2 linked regions of the Lonchura striata genome follow. The protein of the gene in region 1 interacts with the protein of each later gene in a biochemical or structural test. Links are inferred from orthologs where the notes say so. Each region holds a gene or a part of one and is shown in the gene's direction. Other genes may lie near its edges.

The links.
Region 2: the proteins of MMP2 (region 1) and TIMP4 form a complex in vitro, tested with the Homo sapiens proteins (2 studies listed by BioGRID). The link is inferred for Lonchura striata from reciprocal best matches to the Homo sapiens genes MMP2 and TIMP4.

The regions. Positions count from the first base shown.
Region 1 is NC_134615.1:14,215,830-14,223,597, forward strand, and holds the start of MMP2 (72 kDa type IV collagenase), read left to right. Parts: upstream 1-4,767; 5' UTR 4,768-4,930; coding exon 4,931-5,074; intron 5,075-7,768.
Region 2 is NC_134614.1:4,977,109-4,984,774, forward strand, and holds the start of TIMP4 (metalloproteinase inhibitor 4), read left to right. Parts: upstream 1-4,621; 5' UTR 4,622-4,673; coding exon 4,674-4,874; intron 4,875-7,666. UniProt on the Homo sapiens protein: Complexes with metalloproteinases (such as collagenases) and irreversibly inactivates them by binding to their catalytic zinc cofactor. Known to act on MMP-1, MMP-2, MMP-3, MMP-7 and MMP-9.

The DNA.
Region 1 (7,768 bases):
CAGCTGAGTGATTTGCCAGTGTCAAACCTCAGAAAGAATGTAGTCCCTTGGTGTGTCACTACTGCTATTTGTGTAGATGGCCCACCTTCAGGACAGGTACCACTGGGAAAGAGCAGTGAACATGATTCCTGCACACCTCAGGCTCTGGGGAGCCTCAGCCTGGCACCACACTCATGGCCTTGCACTTCTACCACAGTGTCCTACAAGTCAGACATGTGGTGAAAGGCATTAAAATCCCTTTTATAGCATAGTCCAGTCCCGTGCTTTCTTCTGTAAGCTCTTTGCTTTCTTGTTAGTTATAAACTTTTCTTCCCCAGACAAGAAGAAAGAATCTGGAATGCTGATCTAGGAGAAATTGCAAAATGGGATTTCTGAAAAGATAATGAGTCAGAAGGCAACTCTGGAAAACCAAAAAGTAGCCAAAGGTCTGGCTAAACTGGACCTTGGGATATTTTCATTGGCATCTCTCCTGAAGTTCAGGCAAACTTTTCCATCACCTGAGCTTTGGGTTTTCCAGTTCCTTAGAAATTCTGATTGCAAAACTCTGAGGACACTGCAGTTGCTCTGACAACTTTAATGAGCTATTTCTTTTCCACAAATCCTGCTGAAGTCCATTAATAACTTGCTTTGTTTCCTAAACTGGGAGCTATAACCTGACAGCACATGGCCTAGAAAACACACAAGAAGAGGTTACATACACATACTGCAATAGTTTACTTGCAGACACACATCCCACTGCACCTAGTTGAACCAGCTTAGCTGGTAATCAGAGGATCAGCTGTTTTCTTAAGACCTTAATTGTCCTGATGCTTATTTATTTCTTCAGCCTAGCAACAGATTCCAATCTAAAACATGAAACCCCACCAGGAATAAATCCACCATCCTCCCATGGCTTGTGCTCACGACACTCTGTCTAACATACTCTTCTGAAACCATGAGGAAATCATCAGCCTCTGAAAAAAATTTGGAATTAGTGACAGTAGGAATTGCTACAGTGTGTTTTTGGAGGGATGATTACTCTGTAAGCAAATTATCCAGGACACCATCAGAACTGTAATCTTGAAACTGCTGAGTGCTTCTGAATCATTTCAAAAATCATTTTCTGAAACAGAAAAATCCTTTGATAAACACAGCATGTTAATGCATGCTCATGTTTCTCTTACCATAGTCTGATCTACCTAGATATGTAGCTTACAGCTCAAAAGACATTATGATTCCCTTTTTACTATTATTATTGAAGTATATCCTCAAAAGAGGTATTTGCCTTCTCAGACTGTCTGCCATACAGTAACTATTAGTACAAAAGTAGACATTTAAAAAGTACATTTGGCATCTTACTCACAAAGTAGATGGTTTAAAATTTTAATATGGTGTGGTTCTAACCTGAAACAAACTCAGTAACTACAGAGGAGCCTTTTATGGCTCAGGAGAAATACCTCAATATGTGTACCAGATAAATACCCAATACAGAAATTATATGCAGCAGAGAAATTAATTTTTTTTCTACATGTACATAAAGGCAGTAGTGGGAGATACAACTCTGTTCATCTCCTGTAGCTAATCCAGAGGCAGCATCTCTCTACATAGGCAAAATATTTTACAGAGGATTAAGGTAAAAGGAAGGAGATCTAGATTATTGCTTCAGCTTTTCTGAAGAGTTGTAGATGGCCTTAGGTTCTCCTCTCAGCAGGGTTTTTTCTTCTTTCCCTGTGTTTTGTATTGCCTCTTTCTTTAATGTTTAACTTCTAGGAAGTCTACCCAGAAGTCACTAATTACTGTCAGAGGTAATCTCTTCAGAGTGTGGAGGGCTGAGGAATGTCTATGCAGCAAACACTAACAGCAGTTATCCTGTCAATCTGTCAATGTCAGAACACATCCCTCCAGATCCTTCAGAGCCTGTCTCCCTGATTTTGGGCTTATCTAGTCTGAGATAAGAAAACACATCATGCCATATCTTCAAATTCAGCAAGAGTGGTGGGGTGATGGGGTAATTTGGGCTGTACCAGAGCTCAGGAGTCATTTAGCCCAGCCTCAAATCTCAACTCAAAGCAGAGGCCAGCAGCAGAACGTCCCCACTGCAAGTACTGAGCACCACTGCACTCCCAGCCTGTAAAAGCAGCACCTCTCTAGCACACTAAGAACAGGATGATGGCAAAGAGCTTAAAGACAAATACAAAGAGATAAGAAGAATTTTGCCCCAAATATAGTCTCAATACAATAAGGCTTCTACTCTAACAAAGTGTGACCAGAATTTATTTTGCCTTGCCAATCTGAAAGAGGGCAGCTCAGACAGTATCTCTGATGTCATGTGCTAATGAAAGGGAATGTTTTCACTGACTGCTCAGAAACCCAATCTGTTGGTTCACCCAATACCCATAAATAAAATATTCTATTATGTATTATGTTTCCTAATTGAACATAACTTGCTTAACTGCTCACACACTGAAGTAGTACCAGCAAAGCAATTTACCAGCAAAAATGCAAACAAAGGTGAGAAACAATGCTTCACTGCAGGTCTGCATGGTTTCTGTTGCTTTGCCAATTTCTTTTCCGAAATGTATTTAAAAGATGACCTCAACCTACGCTCCCTGCCAGCAAGGATAAGAAACAAAATACAGTGAGATTTTCAAACTTCACAGACCTCACAGTCTATTCAAAGATTCCTCATCCATTTCTGATCCGATATTCATTAGGACAGACAGAGAACAGAGCATTCATTAGTTTTCAATGAGGCTTATGAGTGCAACTGGAATGTTCCAGGACACATTTGGCTTTAAACTGCTTTACCACAGTACCCTTCTAAATGAAAGCTGCTAAGCTGTCATAAATTACATTAAAATTCTTATGAAAATGATGTGGTTCTCATGCCTTAAGATTTACATCAGTCTTTGACCTAACATGGAACACAGAGATAACTGCAGAATTTGCAACACGATCCATAATATTTGTACTTGCTTAATTAAGGAGACCTAAGAGTAACTTGGCACGTGTAGTGAAGGCTTCCTTGGCCTTTGTTCTCTTACAGTGTCACAAGGCCAGATGCAATTATAAACTGTCATCACAAACAAAGCAGAAGAGTCATTCCCCACAACCAAGTACCAGGCTCTGGAAAAACTGGATCATATTTTCAGAACTGCTGTTTATTAAGGCAACACTTTAAATGACCATGGATTTTTGCTGATGGGGAAAAGCTAAAAGAACCATGTGTCATTTCAAAGCTGAACCATTAGGGGAAAGTTGTTCACTGTAACTCAAGTCAGGTTGGATTCGTTCCTGAGAGGATGAGTGGAGATAAGTACAAAGCCACTTGCTGACAAAGACAGCTCCAGTCACACACAAGTTCCCGTAATCCTCATTCTCTCCTGAGCCTCAAGTGTTCTTTCCCATGGCTGATTCACCCAGCCCTTCTAACCCATCACACCGCTGCTGTGTTGGGCTCCCAGTGGAAGGACATGGGCAGCAAAATCCCCTGCAAATGCTTTCTCCCTGAGCCCCTCAGCCCTCTCCTTGAAATCCCTGCCTTTATGAAAGACTATTCACATCATGGATGATGGGGTGCAGTTAGCAAAATAGTTTGATATTAGCATAAATCTAACTGCCAATATTAACTATTTACAACCAATTATCAAATAGTGAACACCAAACACCTGCATGCTAGCAGCCCTATTTGTTAACAGGTCATACCTGGAAAATATTCATTCAGCACTGATTGGGATGCCCTGGAAATCTTTATGATGACATACAGGTCAGAGGAACGTTCATAGCTGGACTTGTGTTCAGTAGAAACAGTAGACCCTTGGCTGGCCAGAACACAGTTTGCAATCATGCAGAATTGCCAGCCTCCCATCTTGAAAAATCATGAGTCAAATCCCTAGATTAGGGAAATTCAGCTAAAATAATATTCCACTAGTAACAGCACCTCAAAGCCAGCAATATTCTAAATGACACAATAAACAACTGTCCATGACAATGGCCATATTTACACCAAAATTTCAGATTAAGGCAGTTGTGCCAGGTGCTCAAACCCCCATTACAAGCAAACGCTGAATTTTGTACAGTTTCCCTGACATCCTTTATTGAAGTTCATATCTCTTGCTGAATCTGCCTAATTTATCTTTTATCCTGTGGGGGTAAGGTGATATCTGCTGGTGGCAAAGCCCAAAGCTGGTTCTGAACCCAGCAAGGCACAATGATGTTACTGAGAGCTCTGCACATTGTGCAGAGAGCAGGGAGGGAGCCCCAAGTACAGACCCACACTCTGCGTAGCCTCAGCAGGAGGGGGACAAAGTGCTCAGCTGCACTGCCCTGTGCAGGGTCTGCCTCAAAATCCATAATCAAAATATTTGCTGCAAGGCACTGTGTGGGAGCATATTCACATATGACTTAAGGATATCATTATATCTGTGCCATAAAAATAGGCTAAAAAATAGAAAAAAATGCTTAGACAGGAAAATAATGTTTAGTAATTTCTTTCTCTTTTTCTTTTTTTTTAATTTAAAATATAAATTTTAAATTTATATTTTAAATATATACCAAAGTGAGATACCTTGTCTTCAAGATTGTCAGGTTTTGTTTTTTCCTCTTCTACGGCATAAATAAACGCTTTTGTAAATGCAAATGAGGAGAAAATGTGGCCTCTTGCAGCAATAGTAACTATCTGCCTGTTGCTACCTTAAAATCACAGCAATCACATCTGGTAACTGCCCTTTTCTCATGTTTCCACTAGTTTTCAGACTTCCTCTTGTGGTAGCTTGAGACTGCGCATCTGGATGTTTTAAACATACAAAGGAACTGCTGGAGCAAGCAAAAGGGAAAGCGGTGCTGGGAGTAAAGATGTGCAGATAAGCAACTGGTGCACTTTGCAGCTAAAGTAACGGAGAGGCAGCGGGGAAAAGCTTTTTGCAAAGAGGAGAGCACAAGTTTAGGCAGAATGAAGACTCACATTGGCCATGGCTTCGTTTTTAAAGTACTATTCATCCAAGTTTATCTTTTTAACAAAACTTTAGCCGCACCATCACCAATCATAAAGTTTCCTGGAGACAGCACTCCCAAAACAGACAAAGAGCTAGCAGTGGTAAGTGTTGGTTTCATCTTTGCTTTGGATCTATATTGTTGTTTCATAAGCAGATGTTTCTTTCTTGATTCAGCTGAGGCTAAGGAATGACTGTAGCATTCTTTCCCTGGAGTCTCTGGAAGTGCTAGCTAGCTAGCAAACGTATCAGCTTTCAAAAGTTAAAACTGGAGCCAAGTAATGTTTCCTCTCTTAAAATTTTTAAAGCCAGCAAAGAAAGTCGGTTTTTTGTTGTTTTTCTTTTTTTCCCTTAAGTCTCAAGATACAAAATATCCTCATGAAATCATCATGACTATAATAAAAAATTGCAATGGTAAGAGGGGAGAAGGGCAAATAAGAGACATCTAATTTTTTTACTTAAATCCAGTAGAAGTGAGGGCAGTTGAGACTCCCTCAATGTATGTATCATAGCTTTCAAGAGTGTGTTTTCCAGATTGTTTACTGTGCATTGCATAAACAGTACTTTAAGGGACACTACAACTGAAAGCTGGCTCAAATTTCAGATGCCATTGTGACTAGTTTTGACTTTGGAAAACAATCTCACCGAGGTTTAAAGAATTTTTTCCCAAATCTGATCTGGAACAAAAAAAAAAAAAAAGGAGTTTGTGTTTCTGTATATTAGCAAATTATAGCTCTAACTCTACAGCATTTTATTCTAACTTTTTTTTAACCCTGTGGACATTCATAAAAGTGACATTATGGGGAAGTCCATTTCTAGGGAGATTGAGATGGATTGTCCTTATTTTAGCATGCAAATTATAGACTAATTATTTCTCTTCTTCAGCAGCAAATCCATTTTAAGGAGGATTGAGAGAAATTATTCTTATTTTAGGACATAGAGACTTGAAAGTTGGTCACTTTTCTTTAGGAGTTTGTGTGCATCTTGGGAAAGTTTGCCAGGTTAAAGGAGGTCTGGGGGAGAGTACAGAGAGAATTTCCAGTTGGGAGCTGTGTCGGAAAGTTTAGGAAAAACAGACAAACTGACCCAAATAGGGCATTCCTCAGCCGTTAACAAAACAAATTCACCCAAGGTTTGGCCTTAGCAGCACAGTAGCCAAGAGCTGGGGGCAGGGGCAGTGCATTTGGGAGAGGAGAGTGGGGTCCCACGTGTCTAACAGCAATTTATCCACTCTAAGAGAATCTATTTTCTTAGACACAGCCAGAATTTTATTCAATAACTGCAATCTATATCTCCCCTCAACTCTATTTCTTTCAAACAACCTATTTATTATGTGTACTCAGAGGAAAATTGCAAGCTGGTTTAACACTGCAGTCCTTCTTTGTCTTTCTTGGGGTATTCTTGGGCAATGCTAACTGGCTGCCTTTCCTCACGCCCTCCATCAGAGCAGCCCCAACACTCAGCATCAGAACACAAATTGCTATGTTGCAGCTGGACCCTGTTTCATTAATGGGCTGGATCAAAATTCCAAATCACCACAACTCCCTGCTGACTCTGGGGAAACTGCCTAGGCCAAGATGTGGTTTTCATAGACATTACATTTTCTTCAAGATTCTCTCATAGAACAGCTGATCATGGTCATTTCTCATCTTCAGTAAAATCTCCATTTTAGGAAAAAACTGAAAGGGGTTAGCTTTTTATTTAGAACCCTAGCAAGTAAAATTCTTCATCATGCCTCAGTTTATAGTTTCAATTGTATAGCTTGCTCCCAAACCTAAAATGGCAAGAGCAGCAGCCTGGTTCTTCAGTAAATGTCAGTTCTTACGTGCAGTCTGTATTACACCATGGTATGTCACTGAGGGATGCAAGCAAAGGTGTAAGAAAACCCATCAAATTACATGAAATGAAAACTAAGAACCAAACTGGCTTTTTTTGATTATGTTCTCAATGCATTTCACATAATTTCCACCAGGCCCCATTAACTATGTGTGGAGAGCAGCTCAGTGGAAGCAAAGATGAAGTCACTGTGTGTCCTTCATTTGCCAGTGCCACAGTCCCCACTGGAGAAATACCACATCAGAGATTACAAAAATCACAAAAAGTAGCCATAGTCTGTGCTCAATCATGATGGATGGAGGACCTTCTGAAGGAAATGGTGTAACATCTTGATGAAATCCTTTTCTGAGTAATCCCTGAACCATTTCCTATACTGGGCAGATGAGGTTAGCCTGGACTTTGTGAGGAAGGTGGTGAAAGCTAGGCTTGACCAATTGCAGTTATCAAATATCCTCTGCGTTATTTTGCTGGTGTTGTGGTTTTATGCCCAGTCTCCTGGGTAAACTTAAGCAATTAATTATACACATGAAAAAAGGTTTCTCTTGGGAATACTTGGTGGCGCAAGAACTTAAATGTGCGGTCATTTTGTCAGGCTTCTTGTAATCCTCAATTTGAAATAGTTCTCCCTGATATTCATCGTCTATTTTTTGGTAAATATACCTTACCTTATTCAGCTGTTTTCCTCCCTTGGACTTGTAGTTAATATCTGGGATACCATACCTGAAGGATGTTTCTTCCTCAGCTGCAGACTGTTTTTACTGGAAAGATCAGTACCTTGCAGCCATCCTGTCTCACAGCACCATTGGCAAGGGCACCTCTCAGCTCTGTGCAGTGCCAAGGGCCCCTTTGGGTGCAGTTTGGGAATACCTGCTATTTCACATGGCTTCTCTTTCACAGAAGGGCATAAAACAGCGTAAACCCATCCTTAAGAGAAGGGGAGGAGACTTTAGTGGGTATTATTT
Region 2 (7,666 bases), on another chromosome or scaffold:
AGAAAGAAGTTAATCTGAATTTATGGACCTTCAAAATGATGCACATCCATATTCTGTGTCCGTAGCTCTGCTACATTTCATACTGCACACTCTGACTATTTCAGAAAAATCCTTTTTGGATGCTTTTTATCTACATTTAGGATGCCATCTTCATTCCAGCCATGTAACAGCCACACACTCTCATTTAGCTCCCTCTCCTTTGCCTTTTATTCCTTGTCCCTCCAAGAGCAAGAACATCTAAGAGCAGCTGGACTGAAGTGTCAGACACTAAAGAGACAGCTGGAAAGGAGTGCTCAAAAATTACTCTTTGTATTTTAGGTAATTAAATGAAAGGGCTAAATTGAGCCTTTGAAATATAAGAGAAAAAAAGAGCTTCATGAGTCTTGATAACTTTTTAGTAGCTTACATCTTTTCCTGTCAATATAGTTTTTGAAGTCTCATTTCAAGGTTTTTGTAGCAAAGCTGACTGTAATTATAAACTTGTGAGATAGGAAATAAACTTCTCTGATTTCTGGAGAGGAAGGCTGCTTAGAAGAGGTGGAGATCACATTTCTATTCACAGAGCTCTGGCGTAGCCTGTCAAAAATCTGAAGTGAACTGGAGGTACAACTGAAGAACAGATTCTTCCTCAATGCGCCTATATCTATTTACCTATTTATCTATTTATATATTTAAAACAAGAATGCACAGAAGGATTGATATATAACATATTTTCTTGTTATATGTTCAGCAGTATCCTATTTTTTTAAATTTATTCTTAATTATCTTAATTTCTTGAATTCTTGCTCTTATGCCCAGTATCTTAAATATCTTCCTAAATAATTATTTTTCACTATGCAGTTGCTGGTACTTAACATATAGTGGACGAAAATACCTCATTTTTTCATCAGATTTTTTACCTTCTATTTTACCTCCTGCTTCTTAGGATTATAAAGTTTATTTGAGGAGTAAACTCCAGCTTGCTTTCCTTTTTGAAGGAGTAGTAAAATTGGTTATTTTAGCTGAGTAGCTGCTTGTCTTCTAACACTTGGACTGTGAAAAGTAGCTTGAGGATAAACTCACCATTTAAGTACAGTAACATTATATAAAATATTAAATACCATAATACAGAATGACTTATTTAATAATAACTTGTAACAATGAGAGTAATTCTTCACTCAACAGTTTCCTCTCAGTTATTGCCTTAGAAATAACTCAGAGTCTAAAAAGGACACTACTTTTAGGGAATATATTAATTTCAGTCTATCAATATGTTAATTATCTATTAATATATTTTAATTATAATATATTTTATATTAATATAAGTATTAAGATATTATTTTAGTCTATTATAATATTAATATATTATCTATTAATATATTTATTTTCATTAATTTCAAGGATTTGGTTTATCCAGATGCCATCCATATCTGTGCCTTGGAATGGGCCCTGCAGTGACTGCTCAGTTTTTTGTGCCTTCTCTCCCTTCATATTTCATTGTTTTTGCCACTGTGGTGGAGTAAAATCAGTCTCATGGCAGGGAATTTCCTCAGAGTAAGGAAAATGCACCCGTAACAAAAGTAGATCCCCATGATCAGAAAAATCCCCAACACAGAAAGTGATGTTTATTTAATTAGTATTAATTAGTATTAATTAATGTAGAAGGAAATCACCCAGGTTTGGGAAGGATGCTGTTAATGCCCATCTTTCTACCCTTACTGCATATAAACCTTTCTATATTGTTCAAACCCTGACACTTCTCTCCTGACTGAATAAACACAAACATATCAAGTAATAAACTAAATATGTGCTTTGTTTTACCCAGTTAAAATGATCTCCTACTGATTTACAAATGGCTGGGAGAGGTTCATTACTATTCAGGAGAGAAGGAGTAAATATATTCTTAACACATTTCAGGTGAGTGCCCAAAGGCTGGGCATTGTCCTATACCTCAAATTCCAGTTCAGTCACCTGAGACAACCTCCAGCTGCAAAGTGAGGGCAGAAAATGACATTTTATCAAAGTTGAGTCCACAGAGAAGCTACATCCTCCTCCTGAAATATTAAAGTCTGTATTTTTAGTGCAGAACGAATCCGAGGCATTTGGAATTACTGGCACTGAAACGTGAAATCCGTGCCTATGTATTCCATAGATGCAAATTCCTCATAAGGAAGCAATAACAGCTAAAATGACATTATTACTGAACAACCAGAGGCTGTTCTCACTCACACAGAGAGGCCAAGCCAGCCCTGGAATGCTCAAAACCATGTCCTGAAAAGAAGTGCAGAGTCGGAGGAATCCTGAGCCCCCTGAGCCACCAGAGAGGAGAGGGAGATGCCCAGGAATGCTGCAGCAGGAAGTGCTTGTGGTTAAAAACAGGAGCAACCACATGAATCCGAGGTTTAAGGAGACAGCCAGACGACACTGATGGCAAAAAAATATCAATGCACAGAAAATAAAAATAAAAAGGAACCCAAGAAGAATTAAAAGGTGCCAAAAGATCTCTGTGTGTTTGGTTTCTGGAGAATAAAAGGGTAGAACCCAAATAGCTCAAAGTTTAGACAATTAAGCTTTCTTACTGTTAAAAAAATTCTCAATTTGTCCTCCTTTGCCATCTGGAAGTTTTCTCTTAAACAAACAAATGAAACACACACACAACAAAAATACTTCTCATTTTCATCTACACACCCACTAAAAAAAAGAGATCTCTGTATGACAAACCCCAGGACGTTTCACTTTCAGCCTTGCACAACTCCATGGAGATCTCTGGAGCTATCAGGCATTATCTGTAACCTTCCCCTCATGTGCTAACAAGTAGAATTTCATAAAAATATAGAAATGCACAATGTTTCAACATTGAACACGTGGGGAAAGCAGTTTTAATTATCCCACACTGAGTAGGCAGGAAAGATTTCCTGCACATAAAGCATGTTATGGTACTGGGAAAATAATGTTGTTTTCTCAGCCCTTTCCTTCAGAACTGAACAGACTCTTTAATGAGAAATCCTTTTTTTTTTTTTTTTTTTTTTTTTTTAGGGAGTAATGATGCAAAGGAGAGCATCTTAAAACAAAGCAACACCATCCTAATTTGTCCCTGCCAGCAGGGTTGAGCACACCCAACCCACAGCACTTTTCCCCTGGAAGGAGATCAGAGCACTGCAGACACACAGATAATTTGTGGGGTTGTTCACATCTGCACATTATTAAAGAGATGCTGCCACTTTCCATGTGAAATGAGGAATTTGCTGTTTGTACTTAAAAGAACTCTTTCCTCCCAACCAGTCCAAAATGCTCCTCGGGAAGGGTTTGATGGCTCAGGAGGAGGGAGCATCCTGCTGGAGCTTGGAAGCTGCAGCCATCTGCAGCTTTAATAATAATTAACATGTTGATTTTGACAATAATTTAACATGTTGATTATTCCATCCAGTTTGCTCAGCTAATTAGTGAGGAAATGGGAATTGTCCAGGGTTAGGTGGGACTGACCTGCACCTGGCTGTGTTTCAGGCTGGGTTTCCTATTCCTTTGCCTTAACCATAATGTTAAATATGATAAAAATGAGGCAAATCTAGTAAAAAATTGGAGTTTTGTGGGGGGAATGTGTAATTTTGATGTCACAAAACTTTGCTCTGCTCTGGCTTTGCCAGTGCCTCTCCCCAAGCACAGGCTGCTCTAACCCAGGAGCTGCAGCAGTGTCCATCCAGAACAGAGTAAAAGTGGGGCTCTCACTAATTTAGGGGGATAAAATCCCCAGAGGAATTTTGGCCATGCTCCATATTCTTAGAACCACTTTAGAACCACAATAAAACAATGAATATTACTATGTCTCTGCTTTTTTATTGTCTTTAGCTTTGCTTGTAAAGGGAAACATATGCAATTTTAAGGTGGTTTTAATTATTATTATACATCTAATCCAGAAAATAAGAAATGGAATAGAAAAGAAATTACTTTTGTTCTTCTGATGGTGCTTCCTGGTCAATAACTAAACTGAAAAGCAAAGAGGAAATGGGTATGTTCTGATAGTTGTGCCAAACAAAATTCTGCTCAGCTGAAATCCAGGCTGTGTTCTGATACTTTTATCTTGGTGGCACCAAGCAATTCAGTCTAATTTTATTTTTTCCAAAGATTCCTGGTGTATTTAAAACATCACACACAAGAGAGATGCCTCAAACAAGGAGAGGGGAAAAGAATCCATTTCTTCTTTCATAAAATCTCCTACTCTCCTTGATTAAAGAACAGGAAATAAATTAAGTAATTCCAAACAGGGAGTAATTGATTTCTACAGGTTAACACAACTAATGGGTGCTCTATTAAACTCCAGAAAAATGAATACAAGATTATTGTTCTAATTTCATGCATGAAATCAATGCTTTCATCTTGCCTGGCACAGGCTTTTAGGGGCTAATTTCGAGACTATTTATTTGATCAACAATTCTGTAATCAACAGACATGTCCCTTTCCTCTGCTCACTGATTTAATGATGGGTATTTTGTCAAATTTTACGGGATTCAAGTCTTCCAGAGATTTTTGATGGACATTTTTTGTCAAAACTGAGTGGTAACATCAATCAGGTTTCCACATTCTTGGGACTCCAGATTTACATCACAGACATCCCACTTACTTTTGTTTTCAGGAGCTCAGCTGGTGTTCTTATGGTAAAATCTTTAAAATCTACTTGTACCTGAAGTGTCAAAACAATGCCAAAATCTATCAGTATAATTTCCATTTTTGCTTGTAAAATTGTCATCTGCGCATGTGCATTTAAATCTCTCTCTCTCTCTCTCTCTCTCTCTCTTCCAGTGATCCGAGCAAAAATATCCAGTGAAAAGGTTGTTCCTGCCAGTGATGATCCCCTTGATACCCACAAAATGATCCGGTATGAAATCAAACAAATAAAGGTACATGGAACCACTCAGCTTTTTTGAAGTTCAATGCTGATAACCTCTGCATATTTCAGCCCAAAATAATTTACCACAAAATGCAGGGAAAGCTGGAGAAGTCTCCAGCTGCCCTCACAGTTAGACCCACATGAAAAAAAAAAAATCACAGGAGGCATTAAAAAAAGGGAAATAAAAAAAGAAAAGGAAAGTTTTAATTAATCCTTAAATATTAAGGATATATTCAAATGTTTCCTTACAGGAATAAGTACATCAATGCCAGAGAATTCCCTTTCCTCCCACTGGCACTTCAATGTTCTGCTGCTACTTTGCAGCACTTCAGGAACTTGAGAGATATTCGGGAGGTTTTTGCTAAATAATGATATTCAGGAGGTAGGGGGTTTTTTATATTCAGGAGGTTTTTGTTAAATCATGATATTTTGATGAAGAATTTTGCTAAATAATGATATTCAGGAGATTTTTTTTTTTTTTTTATATTCAGGAGGTTTTTGCTAAATAATTATATTAAGAGGGTGGTTTTTTGATATTCTGGAGGTTTTTGCTAAGCCATGATATTTTGGTGAAGAATTTTGCTAAATAATGATATTCGGTAGATTTATTTTATATTCAGGAAGTTTTTGCTAAATAATTATATTCAGAGGGAGGTTTTTTGATATTCAGGAAGTTTTTGCTAAATCATGATATTTTGATGAATAATTTTGCTAAATAATGATATTCAGGAGATTTTTTTTTTTTTATATTCAGGAGGTTTTTGCTAAATAATTATATTCAGAGGGTGGTTTTTTGATATTCAGGACTTATTTTTTTGCTAAGTCATGACATTTTGATGAAGAAGTTTGTTATTTTTGATTTTGAAGGCACCAAAAATGTGCTTCATTCTGTGAGTGGTGTCAACACATCTGGTTTTGGAGGATTCCTGATCACCTGTGCTCTGCTGGTGTGGCAGCTCTGCATGATGCAAGCTTTCCAAAGGCAGGGGAGCATTCCCAGCTGAGGGAGCAAGCCCTTTGTTCATTGTGGACAGGGATATTTGCAGGGCCAGGAGTCCTTCCCTCATATTCACACAAACAAAAATCCGTTTGTATGAACATTGCTGGGGAAGCAAGCACCCAAAGCCACAGCTTCAGAATCTCACTGGGTTCTCCCACTCTTGTTCAGCTCCAATAAGGAGATATATTCATTAATTCAAATTGAGAAGACATGTCTTGAGCCAATTGAAGTCACCATCAAACTCTCACTGCTGTTCAAATGATCATGGTGATGAACATTTAAATGATCATTTACTTTTTTTCTGGAACACACAAGAAGTAGGTAATCTTTCTAAATGAAAATGTGTGAGTGTGCACAGGTGAGGTGGGCTGCTTTTCAAGGTAGTTTCATCTCTCCTCTTTCACTGCATATTATTTTATAAATTTTGCGCTTTTCCATTTACTGGGACCACTTAAGAAGGTTGTTAGGTATGGCTATGTGCTTTCAAAAAAAAATATTCAATCATTCAAGTTGTATCCACTGATAGAATTCCCTCACAGGAGTTTAAGTAGGAGGAATCTTTGGTAAACAAGAATATTTCAAAGTATTCACAGGGATGGTTAACACATGGGACTTCTGGTAAGGTTTTATAGTAATTTCAACCAGCCAGTCTCTTCCTTGCTAAAACAAACCCCAAAGCTGTCAGCATATGCCACTTTCCATCTTCTTAAATATTAAGGATATATTCAAATGTTTCCTTACAAAAACAAGTACATCAATGCCAGAGAATTCCCTTTCCTCCCACTGGCACTTCAATGTTCTGCTGCTACTCTGCAGCACATCAGGAGCTTGAGAGAAAAGCAAATCTTCTACCTCAGCACAAACAAGGAGCAATCTAATCTGAGTGATGATTTTCAGCCTATAATCCCATTCTTCAGCAATCTGAATTCTCTGAAATATTTGCGTATTGAAGCTGCTTTGGAGTTTCTCCCTAATTTTCAGCAGTGGAGGCCTGTTCAAAACTCAGGCAGAAGGAAGAGGTGTTTATTTAATTCCAAGTCAGCCAGGCCTGGACAAAGCAGAGATGTGTTTTTTCAGAAAGATGCTCTACATCACACACAAGTTTAGACTAACAACAGAAGGGTTTTGGTAACCCCCACTCCTCAAATCCTTCCTCCTGACCAGAGAGAATTCAGGACCAAACTTTCCCCTGCCCCAGCACCCAGCTCCCTGCGCCAGGGAGGGAGGGATTTTGGGAAGGGAAGGATTTTGGCTGGAAACCAGGAGCTCTGTGACCTGCCCACCCTCTGTGCACCCAGGGTGGCACCAAAATAAACCCAGCAAGGCAAACCGCACAGGAGTGACAGGGAGGGATAGCCAAACATCCAAAGAATGTGACTGAGGTGAAAATGGAAGCTGCTGCACAGTTCCTCAGCTTGCTGAGCAGCTGGCTCAGAGCAGCAGCTGGAGCACACCACGCCTCACCTCAGGTGCCAGCATTTTAAAGAATTTCATCCACAGTGTGTGTGGAAGGTGAGGATATCCTGTGCTCAGCTTCCAATCTTCTTTCAAGTGCTGCTGCTGCTTTTCCTGCCGCCTGCAGCCCCCAAAAGGATCCTGCAGGGTGATCAGGGTGGGAGCATGCCCAGCTGGGGGACAGGCAGAGAATTTGCTTTATAGAGCACAGCAAGGAAGAACTGATCCTCCAAATATCTCTTTTGGAAAATATCCTCGGTTTTTTTGTAAAATACATCAAGAATTAGCACCAAAAATTCACAAAAATTATCACCTCGGTGTGAGTTTTGGGGTAGACCACTCAGATA